Nothobranchius furzeri: one gene and its partners. The main gene of each other region encodes a partner of the protein of the gene in region 2 in a complex. Links are inferred from orthologs where the notes say so. Each region holds a gene or a part of one and is shown on either strand. Other genes may lie near its edges.

Region 1 (5,808 bases), on a different chromosome or scaffold from region 2:
AGGACCTTCTCCCTGACCCGGAGAAGGCATGTTGATTCACAATAATTATCTACATGGTCACAGTAGTAGTATTTTTAAGAGAAATTATTTTGAAGATAAATTTAAAACTTTTTTATTGGAACAAGCATATGGTTAGGCTGTATTATTTCTAATTGATATCCTCCTTTTATAGATATAGTTTTATTCATAGATAAGTGCTTACAAATGTTTCACTGTTAGCTTAATTTTATGGCCGTGTATGGATGTGTGTGTAAATGTTTGTGTGTGTGTGTGTGTGTGTGTGTGTGTGTGTGTGTGTGTGTGTGTGTGTGTGTGTGTGTGCATGTTTAAGTTTGACCTCAACCATCAAAAGGAAATGTGAGTTCATGGTAAAATCCAATGCTAAGAGAAGAGAGCGATAATATTGTGAACAGAATTTCATGAGATGTTTTTGCCGAACCGTTCCTGGACTACAAACCTCAGCAGACAGAGCAGCTGTTACATAGAAGAACCAGGTCACATTTGTTTTCTACATAGCAGTTTATCAAGGCAGTAGTGGTGATGATGCTGATGGTACAAGTGGAAATAATGATGAGGGCAGCACAGGTCATATTATTATTTAATGACAATATCGGTTGTGATACACCCACGTTATCTTATGACACTATCAACACTACATGTAGGGATTTAGGACAGTTGTTTGCAGCTTGAGTTTGTCATTTGTTGGAAGCCTTTGCATTATTGCTACTGCTCATGTCAATATTACCATGTTATTACATTTTCAATACTGCAACATCAATAATCATCTACACCGTACAGGGGTCCTCAGTTATAACGGTCCGAGGGCTACTCACAAAAAAGACCCAGAAGCAAGAGGGCCGGATTTTTGGGGGGGGGGGGGGGGGGGGGGGGGGCTGCTGTTTGGATCGCTGGCTGTGATGCACATAACACACAAGCTTGCAACATAAAGAAGTACCTTTCTCAGCGGCCTAGAGGTAGAGTGTCCGCCCTGAGACTGGGAGATCAGGGTTTGATTCCTGGCCGGGTCATACCAAAGACTTAGAAAAAATGGGACCCAATGCCTCCCTGCTTGACACTCAGCATTAAGGGGTTGGATTGGGGGGTTGAACCACCAAATAGTTCCCGAGCGCGGCTGTGTCTGCAGTTCACTGCTCCCCCAGGGGATGGGTCAAATGCGGAGAACAAATTTCGCACACACACCTGTGTGTGTGACAACTAATGGGACTTTAACTTTAAGAACACCTGTCCCTCTCCAGCTCAGCTGTGTGACTGCACTAACCTGTCCTGTGGGACCCTCACCATGTAACCCTCATGTCCATGCCGTCTCTGGAGGAGCAGATCATACAAGATCTCCCGTAACTTAAAATGAACCAAAGCCTCCTCCCAGTTTCTCTTTAAGCTGAATTTAACATCAGTTTATCATCATTAAACAAAAGAATAAAGTGGAACAATAACTTCTATCTTCTATTTCTCTCTCCTTTTAACTTCTCCGTGTCCCTAAATAAAAGAGACAGATGATCACGCTGCAGCCGCCGTCACTCACCCCGCTCCCTCCCCAAGGCCAGATCTCTCGACATCACAACACTGACTGAGCGCTTCGAAGAGAAATAATAATGAAATTATGAAAATAATAATGCGTGTTTGGAGGAGTGTCCTCCGACCCCCTCATCTCAGTCGCCGATTGAGCGAGCAGAGTGCGCCGTGCGACAACCCGCTCAATTAACATAATTCACGGCCCAAATCCAACAGAACCAATTGGGCTGATTCGGTTCGGTCTCAGGTTACAACTCCAGCACTCAGCCCTGCAGTACCACATAAAGGCGGACCAAAGTTTCCTACCCGGTAAATGTGGAGAACACCCACTTTGACAGATTTGGATGCTGGTGCCGCCGTTAAAATAACAAAACCACATTCCACTATAATTGATTAAGGTACTCTTCTATGACGCAGAAATAGTTTATGCCCGCATCTCATGCATTGATTATGAGTATTTTCCTCAGCTCTATCTATGCTACACCTCCCGGTCGGCCATCGCGGGTGGGGGTTTGGGGGCCACAAAGAGAGGGCTCGCCGGCCGGACGTGGCCCGCGGGCCGCCATTTGCGGACCACTGATCTACACACATGGTGATATTACCTCCTTATCTGGATCACCTACGTATGTAAACATCCCACCAGTTAACTAAATATATTCTAATGTTACTTTTATATCAGATACACTAGCCCACATCAAAACAATAAAATATGCAGTAACATTTATGCATATTTATTACTAGATGGCTGTATATCACTTTATACCAAAATGGGCAACATTTATTCTGAAGAATTTTTCCCACAACCTTGAATGTGTGTAAATTGACAGAAAATACTTTAATGTTTTTATGCATTCATTGAGAAGATAAGGTGTTTTTCACCGTTCTTAAAACAGTTGAAATAAAGATTATTCTCAAAACTAAAAACTTATGTACACTTGACATTTCATGGGAATAATGCAAATACTCATACAGATAAAGATCATTCTTTCAGCATTTCCAGAAGTTTGAAAAACACCTTGTGTCACTTAGTTATTACAGTAATTTCTACTAAAACCTAACATTTAAACTAGGTAATTTGTTTATGTTTATGTATTTAGCAGACACTTTTGTCCAAAGCGACTTACAAGTTATAATCGGCATGTTGCCCTTGAGGCTAACAACAACAAACAATTTTCAGTCAGTCGTAGGTGGCAGTGAGGCTGCATGATGAATCACGGAGAGGAGGGAACACGGAGTGGACAGGAGAGAGGAGGACGGGTGCAGGGAAGGTGCTAGTTTAGAAGATGCTCTCTGAAGAGCAGGGTCTTCAGGAGTTTCTTGAAAGTTGAAAAAGAAGCCCGTTCTTGTAGTGCTTGGTAGGCGAGTGTGCTCTTTTTGGCTGATTGAAGACCAGATGTGCCGTTGCGTTCTAGACCATTTGAAGAGGTCTCACAGTACAGACTGGAAGACCAGTTAGAAGGGCATTGCAGTAATCGAGGTGGGAGATGACAGTAGATTGCACCAGGAGCTGGGTGGCATGTTGTGTTAGGTATGGTCTGATCTTTCTTATGTTATACAGCGCCAAGCGGCATGAACGAGCAACAGAGGTAACATGATCTTTAAAGGTCAGGTGTTCATCAATCTCAACACCCAGATTTCGAACTGCCTTTGAAGGAGCCAGAGATAGGAAGTCATTTTGGATTGAGATATTGTGCTGTATGGATGGTTTTGCTGGGATGACAAGTAGTTCAGTTTTAGAGAGGTTCAGTTGGAGATGGTGGGATTACATTATTATGCACTGCTACTACTTGCCCACTTAATCAGCTTCAAGTAAAAATATAAATCTTTAACCATTTTAATTTTGGCTGTCAAGTTATTTTACCGAATATGAGCTGTAAACGATAAACAATGAATGTGGTAGTATCAACAATCCATTATTTGGCTCAACTCCTGTAACACACTTCCGTTTTTCTGTTACAATCCCAGTGATCGATGCAAACTGCCAGCTAGCAGCAGAAATACAGGGTCCCAATGCAGCCTGTGACAATCAAGACTAGAATACAATGAATTCGTGCTTTTTGTAGCTCACCTCATCTTCGGACTCGTTGTGAGGGACAGAGAAGCAGTTGGTCACCTCAATAGAGTGCTTGTCAATAGTACCTAGAACACACCAGATAGAAATGAGTGTCTCGTTGGGTTTCCTGGTGAATCAGCATTTACGTTCAGCTCCAGCGGTTACCAGATGCGGTTTGATTCAACACTGAACCGAGCCAACGTGCGCTAGCAGATTAGCTGAGGAGTTAGCTATAGCATTTTAGCTAGGAAAATTAAGTCTCCTCCCCCGGCTGGACAGATATTTCAGGTTTCTGCTTACCCAAGAGAGTTCCGATCACTCGACTTGCCCCCTCATTCCGACGCTCGTAAGAGTCAGAGATAGAAGCAAGAACGACGGGATGAATTTTCACCACTGGCCCGAACACCGACATCTTGGAGAAAGAGGACGTACCACCGTCCACAGCGACAACATACACCGCCACCTAGAGGCGGGCGGGCAAACTGCAGCTATTGAATCCTACGCTAATAAACAACTCGTCAACAGTGACGACCCAACAGGTAAACACCTGTTTCTGAAAGCAAATAGAACATACTCTTTTTGATTTTTCATGGTTTAGGGCGTAACTTGTATAGTTTTGCAACAATAAACGCACACAAAACAACAAATGCAACTGTTTATTTAATTAAAGCTAAATGTCACACATTTATGATTAAATGCAAAAACTGCAGTTGCTGTGGGGTCAGCAGGTGGGTGGAGGAAGACCGTCCCCCTTCTGTTGTAGAGATGAGATGAGCCTGAGCGAGGAAGGGTTACAGGGGCTGGACTGATGATGACAGCGTCCTCCGCCGCTCAGAGGCTGCACACCTGCCGACTCCATGAGACGCACAGATGAGATGATGGAGCTTTTCGCGCTGCCGGCTCATCCTGTTGCCACCATTTCGCACATCCTGGCACATGTTTTACAGACGCCTCTGCGCAGTCGTTGAAGTTAAAATGTGTGTTTTCTCACCGGATGACGTTTTTATTTACTGCGATTATTGAGCGATCGTTTTCGAGGCGCTTTCTTCCCCTTCTCCGGGTCGGTTTCCCGGACCGGCTCGCTGGTAGCTATAAAGAGCAGAAATGGGAGTCACCGAATCAAGGTTGCCAGCACCGGTTCGTTCATGGACCAGATGGTTGTTCATAGGATAAAACATCAGCTCGATCAATGCCAGAAGTTTCCACACTGAGCGGGTAGGTTTTTATTCATTCTCTGCTGGTTTTGGCACGAATCCGCTCTCTGGATCGTTTGGTTTCTGTTGCATTGTGGCTGACTCATTGACACTGTCAAGAGGCTATTTCTGATCCATCCATCAGGGGTGATGCGTCATCTTGATCTATCTCTCCTCCTGCATGGACGCACAACATCTAGGTCTGTGGAGGACCTGGACTCCATTTTACTGTGCAAATGATTCAGGAACACCATGCCTCACTGCATGTTTAACTCTGAGTCCTCTATGGGACTTATGTAAGAAATCTCAGCAGGCTCACAGAATAAATCCAACACATTTAACATCAAGTGCATGCTCACACACACACACACACACACACACACACACACACACACACACACACACACACACACACACACACACACACACACACACACACACACACACACACACACACACACACACACACACACAGAGCCCAAAGCTTTTTGTGAAACTAGCATAATTAAAGTGGCTCTAATGTGCAGCTGCTCTCCAGGATTAGGTTGCCTCTCAAAGGAGAGATTTATTCTGTCCTTGTGTTTCATAAAAACACACATTAACTAACAATAAATGAACAACATAATAATTTCTCTTACGCTGTATAATAAATCAAGTTTGTGCTGTGTGTTATTGCAGAAAAGACAATTTTAGTCAACAATTCCATAAACCCTAAAGGCGTGGGAAACTCATTTAAGCAACTGGTAGGAATGAGTGCCTTGCAAGCTTTACTCTGGGCAAAGAAAGCCCAGAAACGCCTGGATCAGCATGGGCAAGTCTGCCTAGAGGAGAGCTCAACATGGCAGGATTTGGGCTCATATTTCATAATATTTGGACATCTGGCCTCAGATTGGATGACAGAACTGTGACTCTACCTCTGACTTTGTTTGCTCTGAGACATGGATGTTTTATCTCCACAAATAACACAAGCCTGGGGGAGCTTCTGCCATATGGTTGATTTGCTAATGCTAACACTAACAGTTAGCTTCT
Region 2 (6,011 bases):
ACACAGGTGTGGTCCTGTCCTGTAACCTGGCCATCAGCGACCTGCTGTACATCCTCACCCTGCCTCTGCTGATCGTCTACTACTCCAACAGAAAAGAGTGGGTGTTCGGGGATGCCATGTGTAAAACTGAGAGGTTTCTCTTCACATGCAACTTGTACGTGAGCATCTTCTTCGTCATGGCAATCAGCGTGAACAGATGTGTGGCTCTCGTGTGGCCCTTCTTTGCACGCTCGTATGTGGAGGCCTTTCATGCTAAAGTCGTCAGCGTCATCATTTGGATCACTGTTGGAGTCATCTCCTCCCCGGTGTGGAAATTTGCTTCCATTTGCCCTGATGCCAACAACAAAGGCAACACTGTGTGTGTGTCCTTCTGCGATTCAAAAGACCCAATGCCTCACTTCACCCACAAGCTTTTCCTCACGGTGTTTGGGTGCCTTGTCCCCTTCCTGGTAACTTTCACATCTTACTGCCTGGTGATCCGTGTGGTGTGGCAGAATGCCAGCTTGACGGTGATTGAGAGGCGTAAGGTAACCCTGCTGGTCACTTCAGTGATTGCCTTGTATGCTGTGTCCTTCATACCATACCACTTCTCTCAGATCTGTCACTTCTACCAGAAAATCTACAATCCTCACGACTCTACCTGCGGGTTCTACATAATGTATCAGGTGTCAAAGGGTCTAGCGACGCTGAACATGTGCATCCATCCAGTGCTCTACATGGCTGTGTTTGACAGCATTAGAGTAGCGTGTTGTGGAAATGGCCAAGAGCAAGACGATGAACAGACACAGAGGAAGTAGAGCTGCTGCTCAGTGGTTTCATGTATGGTAGCTATATCCTTATTGCTTATTTTTAAACGGTAAATCGTTTTACCAGAATGCACAGGCACAGAATTCAGCAGCCCGTATTATCACCAGAACCCCTTCCTTTCACCACATCACCCCGGTTCTCCAGCAGCTTCACTGGCTCCCAGTTAAATTCAGGTCCATCTTCAAAATTCTCCTTCATACCTTCAAAGCAATCCACAACCTCTCTCCTCCATATATCTCAGACCTTATAAGTATTCACACCCCGTCCCGTTCACTCAGATCTTCTTCTTCCATCCATCTTGCGGTTCCTTCTGCCCGTCTCGCTACCACGGGGAGCAGAGCTTTCAGCCGCTCTGCTCCTCGACTCTGGAACTCACTTCCCCCAGACATCAGGAACGTCGACAGTTTTACCCTTTTCAAAACAAAACTCAAAACACACATGTTTAAATCTGCCTAAAACCTCTGATTTTATTGAAATGTTTCTCTCTGTTGTTTCTTCTTTGGGTTTTATTATTGTTTTATTGTATTTTATTACGTGTTTTGTGTAAAGTGACCTTGGGTGTCCTGAAAGGCGCTTTGAAATAAAATGTATTATTATTATTATCATTATAAATCGTCTTTATTTGTATAGCGCCTTCTTAGGGTTCTACAACCCCCCCAAGGTGCTTCACAACACAGTCATTCACATATTATTGCTATTTTTTAAAGACAACATAAGAACCTCTAGTTTTATATGAAATTAATTCTGCACACGTTTTGTCTGCACCTGCTACTGCTGACAGTTTTTCTTTCCTGCAGCGTTGGAACAAATCCTGATGTAATGACGGTTTTCTTATGTTGATATGACCTATCAGGAAAAACAAACATCTTGTATTTATTATTATTATTGTTGTTGTTGTTGTTGTTGTTATTATTATTTCATAACTATAATTGCTATGACCCAAAATCTATGCTGGAATAGTGATTGAGCACTTTTGTAAAAGTTCCAGTACTTTTATTGCTCCACTGAAAACCAGATTGAAGTTTCATTTCATTTGTTATTTTTTTCTCATTCTGCAATTTCCTTCATCACTAATTCACAACACACTCATCAAGTACAATGTTCCAAGTGAAAAAAGAGAGACAGCAGGGAGGAGGAAGAAGTTAATGTTTTCTATAATATGTGCATTTTTTCTTTGCTTGTAATGAAATAAAAACGATCTAATATTGCCACTGGGGTGATTTGTAAACTCATCATACTTCTTTTGACTTTTGAGAAATTTGACAACAAATGTGTAAATCTGATGCTCCTAATATTTTTAAGCACAAATACGAATTAAGTTACCACAGAATTCACATTAAGAATCCACATGAGAAGTTATTTTCATAACAATAACAACGAATTTTTATTATGCAATTTTACGATTTTGTCAACAATTTTTGTCAGCACCAAAAATAAGCTCTTATTTTGAAAAAGTCTGACGAGTTGTGCCTTTATTGCGAAGTTTTAACCTCCGGAAGTGCGGTGCTCGGTTCGCGCTGGTTCTTCCGAAGCTAGGCTAGCCGAGAGGATGCCGTCGATTGAATACGACGAGTAAGAGTCTAAATGAAACGTAGGGTTTTTGTGTCTTTATTGAATGCGTGTAACCGTTGTAATAACGAGTTTGTGTGATTCTATTCTAGCTCAAAGCCCAGCTGGGCTGACCAGGTGGAGGAGGAAGTAGATGAAGGTAAACAGCATTTTAGCTTCGCTAGCTAGCTCGGTGGCAAATGTGACCTAGAGGGTTGGATGCTTAAGATCCTAAAACCGTAGGTGATAATAACCCTTGATGAAAACAGCAGAGGCTTATTCACAAGTTTAACAATTTTTATTTATAGATACAACCCAGGTCGGGATAAAAAGTAGACTAAAAACTCTAAAACACGGGAGGGAGGAGCGACGACAATGCTGGCCCTGGGACTACACACGCAACGCCATCTATTTCTATTTAAAAGCACAAAGCCGCTGTAGGGACCCGAGACAAGAGACAATAATATAAAGAAAAACACTCAGTGCTCCCCTGACCCGGTTACACAAAGGAGGCCGGTGTTGCAGTTCCACGTGGTTGAACAGCATTAAAGACGAGCTAAAATATGCAAGTTTGTTAAATTTTATAAGAATCTGCCCTTAAATCAGTCATGGGTTGGCGTGACTGAGAGACGAACGGCTTAAGAAATTGCGTTATGATAATGAGGCAGTGGTCCCCTGACAGTGACGTAGGGGTGTAAAAACAGTCAAGATAATGATGCTGACGGAAACTAGACTGATTAAATATTCATAAAACATTTAAAGTCGTCAACTGTTCCAGTTGATGTGAAAACGAAGATGTGACGTCACATCAGGAGCATCCTGATCCTGACAGTTCAGATCAGTCCCAGATAAACTCACATTTAGTTGAAAGTTATTAAAGTATCCCCGGATGTTAAGCTTATGGTTGTTTTTCGTGCATCTGCGAATGTTGTATACCTTTATCTTGATTATATTCTTACTTCCCATATTTGCTGTTTTCTTACTTTAATCGTTCTTTTTTGCACAAAGTGCCGCAGCAATTTCCTAATCTGATTTCTCGCACATATGTCACTAAAACCCTAATGATTCTGATCCCATAGGCACATTACCATCACCAAAGGAGACCATCAAAGGAAACATCAAAACAATCACTGAGTATAAGATAGATGATGATGGTAAAAAGTTCAAGGTACTTTGTTTATGTTGCATCAATAAATTTAAAAGGCAAATAATAAATGTCTCCTGAAATATTATAAGTGAAACATTTTGGTTCTCTAGATTGTGCGGACCTTCAAGATCGAGACGAGGAAAGCCTCAAAAGCTGTTGCCAGAAGAAAGGTCCGTGTTTTATTAAATCATATCAGTGCAGTTAATAAATGAACCGCCTTCTGATATTTACCACTCTCATTTCAGAACTGGAAGAAGTTCGGCAACTCTGAGTTTGACCCACCGGGTCCTAATGTTGCAACCACCACTGTCAGCGATGACGTCTTCATGACTTTCATCTCCAGCAAGGAGGTACAGGATATGTCCAAGTTGCTGTTTTCCTTCAGAACGCAAAAACGAACAAGAACATTCTTTAGGAAATGTTCTAATGGAGCATCGATAGTTCGCAGCAGGTTTAAAATGCTGCTTGCACTACTTTTTACAGCTTGCTTGGTGTTCACAATTACCACATTCAACAGCTCTAGATCTTCTCATTCTGTAATGTGACTCAGAATTTATGAAGTTCATGGCTGCAAATTTGTAATTTTTACTGTAATCAAGTTGTTTTATCAAAGTTGCTAATCTTGCTTTTTTTGCAGGACCTGAATGCCCAAGACCAAGATGAGGATCCAATGAACAAGCTCAAAGGGCAGAAGATTGTGTCTTGTCGTATTTGTAAAGGGGACCATTGGACGACCCGCTGCCCGTATAAGGACACGCTGGGCCCCATGCAGAAGGAGCTGGCTGAGCAGCTTGGGCTTTCCACTGGAGACAAGGAAAAGACTGCTGGTTCTGGTACCATTATCACCATTCTCATTACCACACTTGTCTGCTGCTGCTAGTTTCTAAAGGTGTGACAGTAATTGTGGCTTTTCCTAGCTGAGCCAGAGCCTGTTCAGCCTGCACAAAGCAAAACTGGAAAGTATGTCCCGCCGAGCCTGAGAGATGGAGGCACAAGAAGAGGGGAGTCTATGCAGCCTAACCGCAGAGGTCAGTTTGTGTTGGTATGGGTGCTACATTAGCAATATGTGGTCATTTTTAATCTGGTCATGCAGCGTTGAATAAACGTCTCAGTAAAACGAATCATTGCGTTTAACAGCTGATGACAACGCTACCATCCGTGTGACCAACCTGTCTGAGGACACTCGTGAGACAGACTTGCAGGAGCTTTTCAGACCGTTTGGTTCCATCTCAAGGATCTATCTGGCAAAGGACAAGAACACGGGACAGTCCAAGGTTAGTGCTCACCTTAGGGGTGACTGGGCTTTACAAGTGCTGGCCTTTCACAGTTTTTCTGCAACCTGCTGTTATCTACCATCTAGGATTTGAGATTGACGCTGAAAAAATCAAGAATCATCAGTCAGATTTTTTTTTATTGCTCTGCAGGGATTTGCCTTCATCAGTTTCCACCGTAGGGAGGATGCTGCCAGAGCCATAGCAGGAGTGTCAGGATTTGGATATGATCATCTTATTCTCAATGTTGAATGGGCCAAGTAAGTAAATTATCACTGTTGTCAGTAAAATGATCAGTGTTTCATATTCACTAACATAATTTACTTCTGTTACAGACCATCAAACAACTGAGGACTTCATCAGAATCTTAACAGAAAGATGCCAGAATTAATGAAATGTGGCCGTTACCTAAATAAAGATAATTTGTCGCTGCTTCTCTGTTTGACTCTGTGCTAAGGTCTGGAGCCTAGAGATGGTTCTTTGAAGTCATGTTTTACCATCTGCTGTAGAACAGTGGTTCCCACAGTTGGTCCCTGTGTCAGTCATGGACAATGTGTGTAGAAATTACTACAATCACTGCCCCAAAATATTTATAATGCATTAAAATCTGCCATGATAAACTTGACAAACACATTGGTAATGCATGTTGTCATTATGGTCTTGCATATTTGATGTTTACAAATGCTTCATTTTGTGGCCAGGAAACAAAATGGCAACGCCTTGTGTAAAAAGATGCATCTGTTTACCGCGTAACTCACTTTACACGTGTAGGCGTCTTAAATAAGCTCATAATCCAGATGTGTGAATGCTGTAAAGCAGGACTATTCTATGCTGCAAGCCTCTGCCACCACTTACCTGCTCCAACACCTGGGTTAGTGATCGACTCACTTCTTCACCATGTTCTCAAGTTCTTCAGATGCCTGTTTAACATCCATCGATGAAACAAGGTTTTTAATGCCATACCTTGAAGACATGAGGTTGTGTATTATTTACAGGTCCTTCTAAAAAAATTAGCAAATTGTGATAAAAGTTCATTTTCTGTAATGTACTGATAAACATTAGATTTTCATATATATTAGATTCATTACACACAACTGAAGTAGTTCAAGCCTTTTGTTGTTTCTAATATTGATGATTTGGGCGTACAGCTCATGAAAACCCAAAATTCCTATCTCAAAAAATTTGCATATCATGAAAAGGTTCTCTAAACGAGCTATTAACCTAATCATCTGAATGAA
Region 3 (6,093 bases), about 26 Mb from region 2:
TCTGTCTGAAGTGTCATCTCACGTCTGATTTTATGCTGATGACAAAGACCTAAATGGACCCTTTACTGGTACTGATGCAGAAGTTCCTGACAGGATACCAATGAGGTCATCTCGTCTCCTTCTGCATAACCAGGTCTGGGTCGTGGGGGCAGCATCCCAACTAGAGTTCCAGACCATCCTCTCCTCAACCACCTCCACCGGCAGGAGCTCAAGGTGTTCCAGAGCCAGATCAGAGATGTACCGTCTCCAACGTGTCCTGGGTCGACCAGGGGGGCTCCTGCTGGCAGGACATGTCTGAAACACCTCCCTGGGGAGACGTCCAGGAGGCATCCTGACCAGATGCCCAAACCACTTCAACTGAATCCTCTCGATAAGGAGCAGCGGCTCTACTCCAAGTCTCTCCCGAATGTCAGAGCTCCTCACCCTATCCCTAAGGGGCTCAGCACACGGGAGGCGACAAACGACCGCGATCAGCGAAATTCCTCGCTGTCGCTTTTATTACCGAACACACGGGAGGCGACCCGCGGCAGCGGCAAAGCCGTCTACGCGTTCTGTTCCATGGTGAAATGGAAACTTCCGTTGTTTTGCTTGGCTGTGTCAGGTTGGAGGGAATTAAGGTTATTTAAGCGGTTCAGAGTTAATAAAGCGCTAGATATGATGTTTCACAAGGTGCTGCTAGAGTTATGTGAAATCTTACTTTTGATTTTACTATAAAATATAATAATAATCAACTTCTCCTCCATGTTTGCTCGGAGGTGTAGGAGCATCCTGTCTGCTCATTGGTCAGTGAATGAAACCTCCGTTGATTGGTCCTCGTCCGAGCGACAGCGATGAAAAGTTGAAAATATTTCAACTTTCTGGGATCGCGTCGCTGGGTCGCCTGTGCACGACACGTGCACGAGCACAAAATTTCACACGCACGTTTTTCGCATTTGGCTTAGTAGGAGGGAGACCCGATTATCGCTTTGTCACGCACGTCTGATTGAACATGAATGGAGAGGCGATGTCACCTCCCGTGTGTCGAGCCCATGAGGCCGAGCCCGGCCATCCCGTGGAGAAAACTCATTTCAACCGCTTGTATCCGCCATCTTGTTCTTTCCGTCTTTACCCAAAGCTCATGACCAAAGGTGAGGACTGGGCGGTAAATCGAGAGCCTTGCTGGTCACGAACCAGAAAACAACTCTAGTTGTTTTTGACTTATTTGTATTCCTCCGAAATAAAAACAAAATTACACAATAATCCTTTACTGAATTTGACCATTCTGTTTTTATTAAGTGTCAAAATCAATTCAACTGTTTCTCCAGATGAAGGCTGGTTTGGTCACAGAAGGAAGCTCCACATTTCAGTTCTCTTCATCTGAAACAAGAAATCAATAAATCAGGTTGAATATGGAGATGCTTTCAATGTAAACAAAAACACCATCAGATCTCGTTTTAAAGCTGATGTACTGCACTAAGGGTCAGAGGGAAATAGTTTCCATTCTCCGTATGCGTGTGCTGCACATGTGGTAGACAACAAAGTAGATAGATGGTATTTTTATCCAGAAACCTGAAAGCCTCTGAAGTCACGAAAATAACTTCTTCTATAAAGAATCACATTTCAAAAGTGCCAACGGTTCTATTGTGGCCATCTTTGCTCTGGAAAGTGTACATCAGCATGATTCAGGTCCTTCTTTTGAAAAGATTTTAGTTTTCTCTTCATCTCTCAGGTCACTTCACTCTAAACGGTTTTCAAAAACCAAGTTTAAAATAACAGACCTTCCTCCTCCTCATCCTCTTCATCCTCCTCTTCCTCCTCCTCCTCATCAGAGCTGAAGGTACCTTCAGGCAGGCTGTACACTCGAATCACTTGCTGTTTAGTGGAACCAGAGTGAGAACGAGTCAGTACTTGTCAGCTGGACCTCCGTCTTTGGTCCTCTGGGACTCGTTTCCACTCACCTTGTTGGGGTCCTTCAGGATCAGGTACTTGCCCTCATCCAGCTTGCGGCAGATGTCGATGACGCAGCGGAGGATCCCCCAGGCGTTCTCCATGCTGAGGTTGATCTGGCTGGCAAACTCGTTGGGTTTGAACTGCTGGGTTCCCAGGATGACGTGACGAGAAGAATCCTTCACGTGGTACCGAGACACGTACCTGAGGAGCACACGTGGTGGAAGTCAGGTCCAGCCTGCTTAATGACCATCATCCATTAGCTCCCATCACAGGGTCGGCATACTCACCCCAGTTTCAGATACTCCGACCCGGCCAGCATGGCACAACAGGTCCAGCGGGCCAGTTTGTAGCTGTTGTTCTTCAGCTCGGTGGCCAGAACGGCTCCCCGCTGAGAGTCCAACTTCTGGCGCCAATCCACTCCATTACAATACTGAAGATGAAACAGAGATGAGGAATGGATCAACAACTCCCCGTCAGAACCGGGCTGCTGCACATGAACCAACAACATTATAGAGATGACTGGTTTCAGCAATAAGAATAATTTATGTTAATTAGATATCTGAATCTGTAAATTATTATTTAGGAAAATGTGAACTTTTGGACCGTCCCACTGATCAGGAAGACCAAGAAGGCGGTGGTTGTCAGAAGTCAGCCGGAGGGTTTGTAAACATGAATTCTGACCTCTTATAGACTTGATAGATTAGTTTAAGTTAGGGCTGCTCAATTAATCGAATTTTAATCACGATTACGATCTGAGTTTTGAACGTTTATAAAAAACAAAACAAGCCGATTATTTGCTCCTCCCGCTTGCGCTGCCCTGAGTTACAAATGAAGCGCTCCTCCCACAGTGTTGCCAATTTAGTGACTTTGACGCTATTTCTAACAGCTTTTCAGACCCCCTTCTTGACTTTTTAAATCTTAAAAGTACCTAGCGACCACCTCAGAAACATCTCTGGTAACCCTTAGCTACTTTCTGGATAACTGTCGTCGACATTTCCTGCAGGTTAGCTAAACACTCCGCCTGCGCGTCCGGACCGTTCTTCAGGACATTAGGAAAGGGAATGATGTAGTGATGTGTCAGTCGCTTAAGAAACTGCTCTCGGAGCCGGCTCCTTGTTGGATTAACCAGAGTGAGTGACACACACACCGCACCTGCGGACTCCTGAGCCACTAAAAACGGCTAAATGTGCGCGTGCTAAACACACGTGCAGCTTGCCCCGGATTGCTGTGAGACCGGGGTGGGGGGTGGGGGGTGCAGCTGTGGTTGAGACAATTATTACATTAACTGATGGACTTGTAAATAAATAGTTTATAAATAAGGTAGAAATAAGTTCCTCACGCTGATAACTAATCTCTCTGAGGACACGGTGCTAGTGCACTCTCCTACAGCACTTTGACACGACTAAATAAATATTATGCAACATTTTGTGAACATCAATTTATTTGCATTTATTTGTTATAAATGCCACTGTATAATTCTTGCTGTCAGTATTTGCAAGATATTGGTATTTGGGTCTGTACTGGTTAGACTTACATGAGTTAAACCAAGGTCTACAGCCCTTGGGTCATAGACTATGAGCTATAAGTATATTGGTCTTTTTATACTGGGAATCAGGAGTTACTTTAGTGATCATCTTGTTTCTTATTCATTGTTGTCCTGATTGTGGCCTGAGCAATTTTGTGACTGAATAAAAACAAATAAAATCAACATAAATTGAAAAATCGTCTTAAATAATCGTGATCTCAATTTCAGTCACCATAATCGTGATTATTATTTTTGCCATAATCGAGCAGCCCTAGTTTAAGTTAGCCTTTATTTAGGCTGAAGACAAGAAAAGTTACAGAAAGATTTCGTTTGCAGGAAATAAGAACATGGAACATGTGTTTTAAGAACTGAAGCGGTCCAAAAGGAAACCAACCGCCTGTTGCCACCCACAGCCTCCTGTTGGCCGCAGCACCCAGAGCCAGCTGCTGCTGTCTTACTGGACATGCTTTTGTTCCCTTCTCTGAAACCAGTAACGGTGTCTCCTACCCTGGAGTCCCACTCGTTCAGGGTCTTGACGTTGATGAAGGACACCTCTCCATTCGCTCCAGTCATCACTCCGTCATGTTCACAGCGGATGATCAGGTCGATGTCATCCCCGAGCTTCCAGTGACGGTACCTGAATCCCCAAAAAGCACCAGTCAGTCAGAAGATCCGGTTATCACGTCCCACAGATGGAGCCAACACCAGAACCCAGGACCTACCTGTAGGCCACAGACGCCACCTCGCTCTTGTCCATGTCTTCCTCCACAAATGGGTTAGGGTTTGGGAACTTGTACCGTTCTCCTCCCTGAACACAGCTGAACGTTAGAGTGTGTGTGTGAGTGTGTGTGTTTGGATCTGTGTGTGATGGTCTCACCACACGTAAACACTGCTGGCTGAAGTTGTGGTTGATGTAGGTGGCCTCCATCGCCAGGTTACGAGGAGAGTTAAAGGAGTTTCCCTCATCTTGAGGAGGCTCGTTGGCGGTTTCACTCACAGTTAGCAAATCTGTTCAAATAATTCAGGAAAACAACCTAAAATAAATCGTTCTGCTTGCATTAATCGGAGGTTAAACGCAGACGTGATCGCGTTTTGTTTGATGCCTTTGGCTGCAACTGCAGATGGAACCAGAGCTCCTCCGTTTTCAGGCAGGTTCGGCGAACTCCCCAAAACTCACCAAAGTCAGAGTTGTCCCTCTTGTCAAAGAAGAGCTTGTTGCCGACTCTCTGCACGATGATGTCCCAGGAGTTGACGGAGCGTGTGCAGCACATCAATGTGGCCAAGATAGCGTCTGTAGCAAACACGTTGCCCTGAGTCTTCGCCAGCTGGAGGAAGGCAGAACCAGATTAGAACTCCACCCAGAAAACATTCAGAGCCTCTGGAGGAGCTGGACCGGTGAGGAGCCACCAACCTTCCGGATGACCGGATCATCGGTGGTGGTGACGGTGTGGAAAATCCTCTTGATGCTCTTCAGCTGCTTCTCGTTGCGGGTGGTGATCCGATCGAACGCTTTATCGTAGTACTCCAACGCACCACAGCACTCGCTGCAGGAGGACCAGAACTTTACAGATGTACAGATTCAACCCAAACACAAACCAGACCAGACCAGACAAGCTTCACCTACATGTCAACAGGGTCAGAAACCTCCATGTATCGCATCTTCATCAGTCTGGGGAAGTCCATCTCCTCCTTCACCTCCCAGTCACTCCTCACCTCCACAGAGGAGTCTCTGGGCTTCAGCTGGGCCTGAGAAGCAGCACAAACACACAAATTCACCAAAGACCATCACAACGGCTTCAAACAGACCCAAATACTTCAGAATCATTCATCTGTGATCATGAATCCTCAGACTGAAGCAGAAAATAGAGGTCAACCTCTACTGGTTTCTCTATTGCCGACGCACACAGCTAAAGTCGACGCCGACACGTAGGAGATAGCCGATGTGACTTTTACGGCCAAATCCAGATGTTTTTCCACTTCTTGGTCATGCTAAAATGTCACTAACAACATCAGTTAATGCACTAAATTTCTGAAGTTGAATCGGTTTTTGAACCAACTTCTAAATTTTAACGTTGTGCACTCCGTTAAAATTAGACACATAAATAAAGTTTATTTAGAGTATTTAACAATGAACATAAAAATACATTTAAATTAAATTCTGCTACAGCACCTGGCTGCCCAAGGATGTGCCCGACTTTAAATCGGTTTTCCTAAGGACAAATATCACTCTGCCCGATGCACCCACAGAGTACGACTTACAAGGTATCCCTTCCTACTAGAGACCACTGCAGATGCACCGACTAAACAATGAACCGCACCTTTAAAAATAAACCAAGAATGTGTTTTTTTATTGGTGAATATGATTTGATTTCTGCTGCTCTAAAAGGGAAACAATAGAAATTAAATAATCGACACCTGAGATTTTTGATCCCACTTCTGACGGACACCAAACTGCTTCTGGAACTTCTTCTGCAGACGCAAACGATCTCTGAAAAGGCGAAAGAGTGAGGTAAAGCTCATTGTTCAGCTTGGATCTTTCCAGTGGAGCTCAGAGTAATGATCTCACCTCTCCTTCTGCTTGGCACTCTTAGGAAGTGTCTGCATGTTGAACTGAGTCAAGTTCCTACGGTCCTTGTCCC
Region 4 (5,763 bases), on a different chromosome or scaffold from region 2:
TGCACTCCCAGAAGAGGCAAACTCCCCACCTGTCCCTGTTCTTGTCCCTGCACAGGAATAAAGCAGGACTGCTTCGTCTCCTCCTCCCTTTCAACGTCCAACCACCAGCCTACAGGCCGCTGGAGCAGCTGATGTTCAACGCTGAGCTGGAATCAGATTTACACCAGATGAGTCCAACAGAAGGGTTAACGTGTGTCCTCCCAGCGTCATCTGCAGACGGGCTTCCTTCACCCCATCCTCTCCAGCTGAAACTAAGCTAGTTCAGATCATTTTATTACAATAACTAGAGTTGTTGCTGAAGGCTTTACTGAGCTGTGTGGGAGGACACCACCTAAGCAGGTTTACCACAGGTGTGTGTGTGTGTGTGTGTGTGTCTTAAGTGTTGTTTTCTTCCATCTCTACCATTCCTTCCTTTAAGTAAGAGCTGTGTGGGACTGTTGAGGGAAGCTTTTCAGTCCAGCCTTTTATCCTTTTTTTATTATGATTTTTTTTGGCAGAGTAAATCCTGGATTATTAAAGAACGTTTTAGAACTAAAACGTTTGAACTCTTATTCATTTGTGTAGTGTTTAAATGTGAGTCTGTATTTATTGTTGAAATCATACAGTCACTGATATCGGGGGTTAAAATAAAGGATATTTTCATTTAAGCTGATCATTTTCATTCATTTTACTCCAAATTTGTCATCCTTACCTCTCCTGGGTTATGTTGCACATTACCAGTTTAGTTATTAGTATTAGCACTTTTATCTCATTTAACTCCATCTTTGTTCCGTGTGTGTGTGGGATGTACCTGTTTATATCTGTGATGGTCCTGGGAACGGCAAAGGCTTCTGGTCAGGTTTATTCTAAAGAATGTCAAAGTTCCTCTATGCAACGCTTGCATCTTGGTTTTATTCTGTGGCCTCGACCCACGAGCACTTAGCTGAGAATGTAATCTCATCATATCCACTGTTCTGCATAAATGTGTCGGGGACGACATATCTCACAGTTTAAGGCCTTTTTCTTCCAAGGGGTTGATACTTTTACATTGGGTGCTTTTGAAATGTGCATTGATCTGAGCCAAGTGAGAAAACTGAGAGGAGAAGTCTAATTTGATTTGGTTTCCTCCAAACACACGCCTGTTTCCCCTGTGCACTACATATGTAGTTTCGACAAAGCAATGCCATCCGAAACAGAAATGCAAATGTTTTTCAGTCTACCATAGGATGTATTCACTGTACTGTTTACTTTTCATATAAACCAAAGATGTCTCCCTGTTGTAGTTTATCTTTTGCAGTATGTTATTTTCTGGCCCTGATTTTAAATAAAATTAGAGTATGTCTGATTTTCTGGCAGATTATTTTTTACAGTGAATTATTTGTGTCATAATGAGAATTTTGAGAACTATGGAGATAATTTATTGTGATTTTTGAGATTTTGTGTCACCATATTTCCAGAATGAAGGGCACAGGACTAATTTTTCTTTTTAAATACTGTATTTGATGACCTTCAAAAAGAATCCAATAAAATCACTGTCAGAAAAGTAAATTTAAGTGACAGAAACTAAACGTAATAAAAGAAACTGGTGAGGAAGGAGTGGTTTCGTGACTGACAGAAATGCAAAATGATTTACAACTTATACAGGAGGGTGGCATGTTATCATACATTATGTTGATAAATATCATGTATGTAGCAGTATTCGGGATTAAATATTCACAAATGAGCTGATAAGGAGCAGGACTGAAACGAGCACAAGTTTGGGATCAAATTACTTTATTTTCTAGATTCCAGAAAGTCCTTCATACCACATTTGTCCAGGAGGGGGCGGCAGGTCGTCCATCTGCGGTTAATACCATCGAAGAAGAAAATGGAAGCCTTCTCTTCCGCCACAGCTCCGGTGTCTGACACATGAGGGTTTAACTTTTCTCCCATTGTGAGGCGCAGCAAATTGACTAAAGCATCTGGAAACACCTAGCTGACGACAATGGTTGGTATATTTATTTACAAGGCAATGTTTACCTGGCGGTTTTCAGTTTTTGTTCTTTAGCTTGTCGCTGTAGTTTGGGGTTTTACTTTGTCTGTTGTGGCTAGCTATAGCTTTTCACGTTAGCTAATGTACATATTCATTTTGGCAGAAGTCTTGAGTTAGCTAAGCTATGAAAGAGATTTCTGTGACTCGTATAGTGTTGGTGCTTTACGCCTAGGCAAGTCAAAGCTACGTTATTCTTTCTTTTTTCAATTAAAACAGTCATGTGTAAATGCTAGCTTAATCTGAACCGTTATCGGTGTTTCTAGAAACCCATTTTGCTCCAGGGCCACGAGAGGTCCATCACACAAATCAAATACAACAGAGAAGGAGATCTGCTCTTCTCGGTGGCTAAAGATACAGTGAGTTGGTACACACTCGCTCTTCTGTCGGATCATTCAACACGACGTTTGGGAGCAGCCAAACTCATCCCTGCTGTTCTGCTGCTATCCAGGTTGCCAACGCGTGGTACTCTGTGAACGGAGAGAGGCTCGGGACCTACAATGGACACACCGGAGCTGTGTGGTGTGTTGACTGTGACTGTATCCTTTGCACCTCTGCCTAATGTAAGCTAGGGGTGTCTGTCAGTGAAGTTAGGCATCTTAACTAGTTGTCTCAGGGGACACAAAGAACGTGTTAACAGGATCAGCAGACAACAGCTGCAGGCTGTGGGACTGTGAGACTGGTAAGTAAACCTTAACAATGTGCTTTTCCAAAGAGGTGGACATGATTTTTAGGGTATTGGGATAGTTTGTAAACCTGACATCATGCTGTCTAAATGACATCTTTAATGTGTTTTCACAGGTAAACAGCTGGCTCTGCTCAACACCAACTCTGCCGTCAGGACGTGTGGGTTCGACTTCAGCGGCAACATCATCATGTTCTCCACCGACAAGCAGATGGGTTACCAGTGCTTCCTGAACTTCTTTGACCTGAGGGATCCACAGCAAATAGGTAAACATTAAATGCGCAAACACACACACGCACACATGTTCTGCAATGGTGTGGCCACAGTATATGGACTGGATATATACCATTTTAAACAAACTTTCTTACACTTTTTGCAATTTTTAATGTCAGTCAGACACCTAAATAAAGTTAATTTAGACCAATCCTGGTCCTGGAGGGCCGGTATCCTGCATGTTTTAGTTTGAACTCTGTTTCAATACTCCTGATTTCAATCAGCAGCTAATTAGCGGTCTTTTGCAGCGCCTGATGAGCTGCTGCACAGGTGTTTCAACCACTGAATCAAGTCTGTAGGAGCAGAAAAACCACAAAACCTGTTGGATACCGGTGTCGGCACAGGATCTGCTCGGGTGCAAAATTGGCTCAGGGTCCGTCGACTGCCGATGACGTCTAAGTAGTTGATTGGCTGCACATGAACCTTACGGAATTACGTAATCACGTTACGTTGTTATCACGTTACGTTGGTCCAGGCAAATCTTTCTGTTGGAAAGATGGACAACTTTTACAAAGAAATCCATCATTACCTCTTTGAAAATACACTTTGAGCATAGAGCTGCATGTATATTAGGGCTGAACGATTAACTGCATGTGTAATTAAATTGCGATGTGACAAAAGGAGATTTTCTAATCGCAAAGGCTGCAATTTGGCAGCGAGTGGTTAGCGCAATGCTAATATACATGGAAAAACCCATAGGAATGCTAATGCTAATATCGCCGATTACATGATCAAATTATGAATTAGAAACGTGCCAAATGATTACATTTGGAGTCTAATAGAAAGTAAAAATACCATCAATCAAATAAGTACAGACAGGTATTTTAGTAAAGCCAGAAAACTTTTAACTCCAGAGTTTTGGCTAGCAGCTATGAGCGTAATGAACTACGCATGGACAAGACGTCAAAAACTCTAAACACAAAATACTTCAATAAATGGGACACACTTCTTTCCTGCAAATACAATTTCACAGGTGTTGCTAATACCTATGATTCTTCAAGGGATGTGCTCAAAGAGGAGTTCAACATCATGACTACAATATAGTGTTTTATTTTACAAATACCATTATAAACACAAACTTACGTCTTAAGAAACATTATTTTAATAAGGAAACTGCTAAATTCTTTCCAACAGTATAGATGTGTACTGTATTTTGTCCGAGTGGGTTTGCCGTACTTTGACGTCATCGGCAGTCGAAGGACCCCGAGCCGATCTTGTACCGACACCGGCCCTCCAGGACCAGGATTGGGCACCCCTGATTTAGAGTATTTATTATGCAGATGTTATTAGTGAATGTTGGGGAAAAAATTTGAATTAAATTCTGCAACAGCACCAGGGTGACTATAGATGTGCCTGACTTTAAATCAGCTTTACTAAGAAAAAACAGCCGATGAATAAAAAACTAAACATTGGCCAACCAATATAATCGGTCCACCCCTAATTCACTCATTCCTTTATTCCATGTAGCAGCTCAGTGGTCACTGTTTTTCAAAATTGCATTGATTCATGTACCAGACTATTAGACGAAGAAATAAGTTAAGATCGTCTAGCCTAGTGAACTAGACCAAATTCTTGCCTTGTAATGTTTGGTGTGGGAACGCTCCACCGGAACTTCTGAGGCCTCCTAGCAGCATTCTGGCAGATGTGTTTTAGTCTTTTATTTAGAAAAAGGATGTATTTTTGCCGCCTTCAACGGCAGACATCCTTGTTTACAGAGGTTGCGGTGAGTACTCCACGTTGTTCGTTGTCCAGTAGGGTGCAATGATTGTTTGAAAGACAACGGTAGAACCCGCCCCACGACAGGCAATGGAACATTAAATAATATTATGGATTTAGTCTGGCGTGCCAGGCTAAAGAACATCCAAAATATCTCAATTTAGAGACTATTTTAAGCTAAAGAAGGTCATAAAAGTGCCAACTATGCTTCTGTTGAAACACACGTAGATTTCCTCAATAACACGTGTGCAGCAACTTTTCCCACACTGAAACATTTCAAAATGAATTGACATGTTTTGTGCACGTGTCCTGAATCAAGTTGAAGATGGTGTGATGTAGGGTCGTCACGGTGTGAAAATGTAGCCTCGCGGTTATCGTAACCAAAATGAAAACGGTATTATCGCGGTATTTTTTTAAACGTGTTACATTTTCAGACAACTAAATAAACCCTGTATGTCAGGAAAATATTGTCCTCAGTTTGTGTCTAAATTTTGCCTAAAACGTGTTATTTTGTAATTATGTTGTTTATTTGTTTACATTTTTCCCCTTTAGTCTTTAAAATACCAATATTTGCCCATAACTTCAAAATTTTTTGTCTGTTTGATGTCATCATTTTAAAAATATTAGACCAGATGATACTCAGTACTCAAGTAGCCTTCTAATCAGATACCGTATTTTCACGACCATAGGGCGCACCGGGTTATAGGGCGCGGGCATGGGCACGTTCAAACGTACCGGTGTCGGTACAGGATCTGCTCGGGTGCAAGATCGGCTCGGGGTCCTTTGACTGCCGATGACGTCAAAGTACGGCAAACCGACTCGGACAAAATACACTACACATCTATACTGTTGGAAAGAATTTAGCAGTTTCGTTATTAAAATAATGTTTCTTAAGACGTAAGTTTGTGTTTATAATGGTATTTGTAAAATAAAACACTATATTGTATTCATAATGTTGAACTCCTCTTTGAGCACATCCCTTGAAGAATCATAGGTATTAGCAACACCTGTGAAATTGTATTTGCAGGAAAGAAGTGTGTCCCGTTTATTGAAGTATTTTGTGTTTAGAGTTTTTGACGTC

The links.
Region 1: eif3g (region 2) and eif3f share a complex: the UniProt entries of both Homo sapiens proteins name them as parts of the eukaryotic translation initiation factor 3 (eIF-3) complex. The link is inferred for Nothobranchius furzeri from reciprocal best matches to the Homo sapiens genes EIF3G and EIF3F.
Region 3: eif3g (region 2) and eif3d share a complex: the UniProt entries of both Homo sapiens proteins name them as parts of the eukaryotic translation initiation factor 3 (eIF-3) complex. The link is inferred for Nothobranchius furzeri from reciprocal best matches to the Homo sapiens genes EIF3G and EIF3D.
Region 4: eif3g (region 2) and eif3i share a complex: the UniProt entries of both Homo sapiens proteins name them as parts of the eukaryotic translation initiation factor 3 (eIF-3) complex. The link is inferred for Nothobranchius furzeri from reciprocal best matches to the Homo sapiens genes EIF3G and EIF3I.

What each region holds. Positions count from the first base shown.
Region 1 is NC_091751.1:40,239,490-40,245,297, reverse strand, and holds the start of eif3f (eukaryotic translation initiation factor 3 subunit F), read right to left. Parts: upstream 4,045-5,808; 5' UTR 3,999-4,044; coding exon 3,887-3,998; intron 3,673-3,886; coding exon 3,602-3,672; intron 1-3,601. UniProt on the Homo sapiens protein: Component of the eukaryotic translation initiation factor 3 (eIF-3) complex, which is required for several steps in the initiation of protein synthesis.
Region 2 is NC_091745.1:3,308,858-3,314,868, forward strand, and holds eif3g (eukaryotic translation initiation factor 3 subunit G), read left to right. Parts: upstream 1-2,275; 5' UTR 2,276-2,356; coding exon 2,357-2,379; intron 2,380-2,468; coding exon 2,469-2,515; intron 2,516-3,434; coding exon 3,435-3,523; intron 3,524-3,612; coding exon 3,613-3,672; intron 3,673-3,747; coding exon 3,748-3,852; intron 3,853-4,139; coding exon 4,140-4,335; intron 4,336-4,419; coding exon 4,420-4,530; intron 4,531-4,639; coding exon 4,640-4,776; intron 4,777-4,926; coding exon 4,927-5,033; intron 5,034-5,108; coding exon 5,109-5,124; 3' UTR 5,125-5,205; downstream 5,206-6,011. Other genes in the region: suppressor of SWI4 1 homolog, read left to right, coding at 1-797. UniProt on the Homo sapiens protein: RNA-binding component of the eukaryotic translation initiation factor 3 (eIF-3) complex, which is required for several steps in the initiation of protein synthesis.
Region 3 is NC_091745.1:29,242,293-29,248,385, reverse strand, and holds the end of eif3d (eukaryotic translation initiation factor 3 subunit D), read right to left. Parts: coding exon 6,021-6,093; intron 5,943-6,020; coding exon 5,870-5,942; intron 5,201-5,869; coding exon 5,079-5,200; intron 4,999-5,078; coding exon 4,866-4,998; intron 4,780-4,865; coding exon 4,632-4,779; intron 4,463-4,631; coding exon 4,332-4,462; intron 4,263-4,331; coding exon 4,177-4,262; intron 4,092-4,176; coding exon 3,962-4,091; intron 2,360-3,961; coding exon 2,217-2,359; intron 2,131-2,216; coding exon 1,938-2,130; intron 1,852-1,937; coding exon 1,758-1,851; intron 1,357-1,757; coding exon 1,343-1,356; 3' UTR 1,240-1,342; downstream 1-1,239. UniProt on the Homo sapiens protein: mRNA cap-binding component of the eukaryotic translation initiation factor 3 (eIF-3) complex, a complex required for several steps in the initiation of protein synthesis of a specialized repertoire of mRNAs.
Region 4 is NC_091751.1:3,239,191-3,244,953, forward strand, and holds the start of eif3i (eukaryotic translation initiation factor 3 subunit I), read left to right. Parts: upstream 1-1,826; 5' UTR 1,827-1,963; coding exon 1,964-1,966; intron 1,967-2,274; coding exon 2,275-2,367; intron 2,368-2,459; coding exon 2,460-2,547; intron 2,548-2,624; coding exon 2,625-2,690; intron 2,691-2,809; coding exon 2,810-2,959; intron 2,960-5,763. Other genes in the region: txlna (alpha-taxilin), read left to right, coding at 1-61. UniProt on the Homo sapiens protein: Component of the eukaryotic translation initiation factor 3 (eIF-3) complex, which is required for several steps in the initiation of protein synthesis.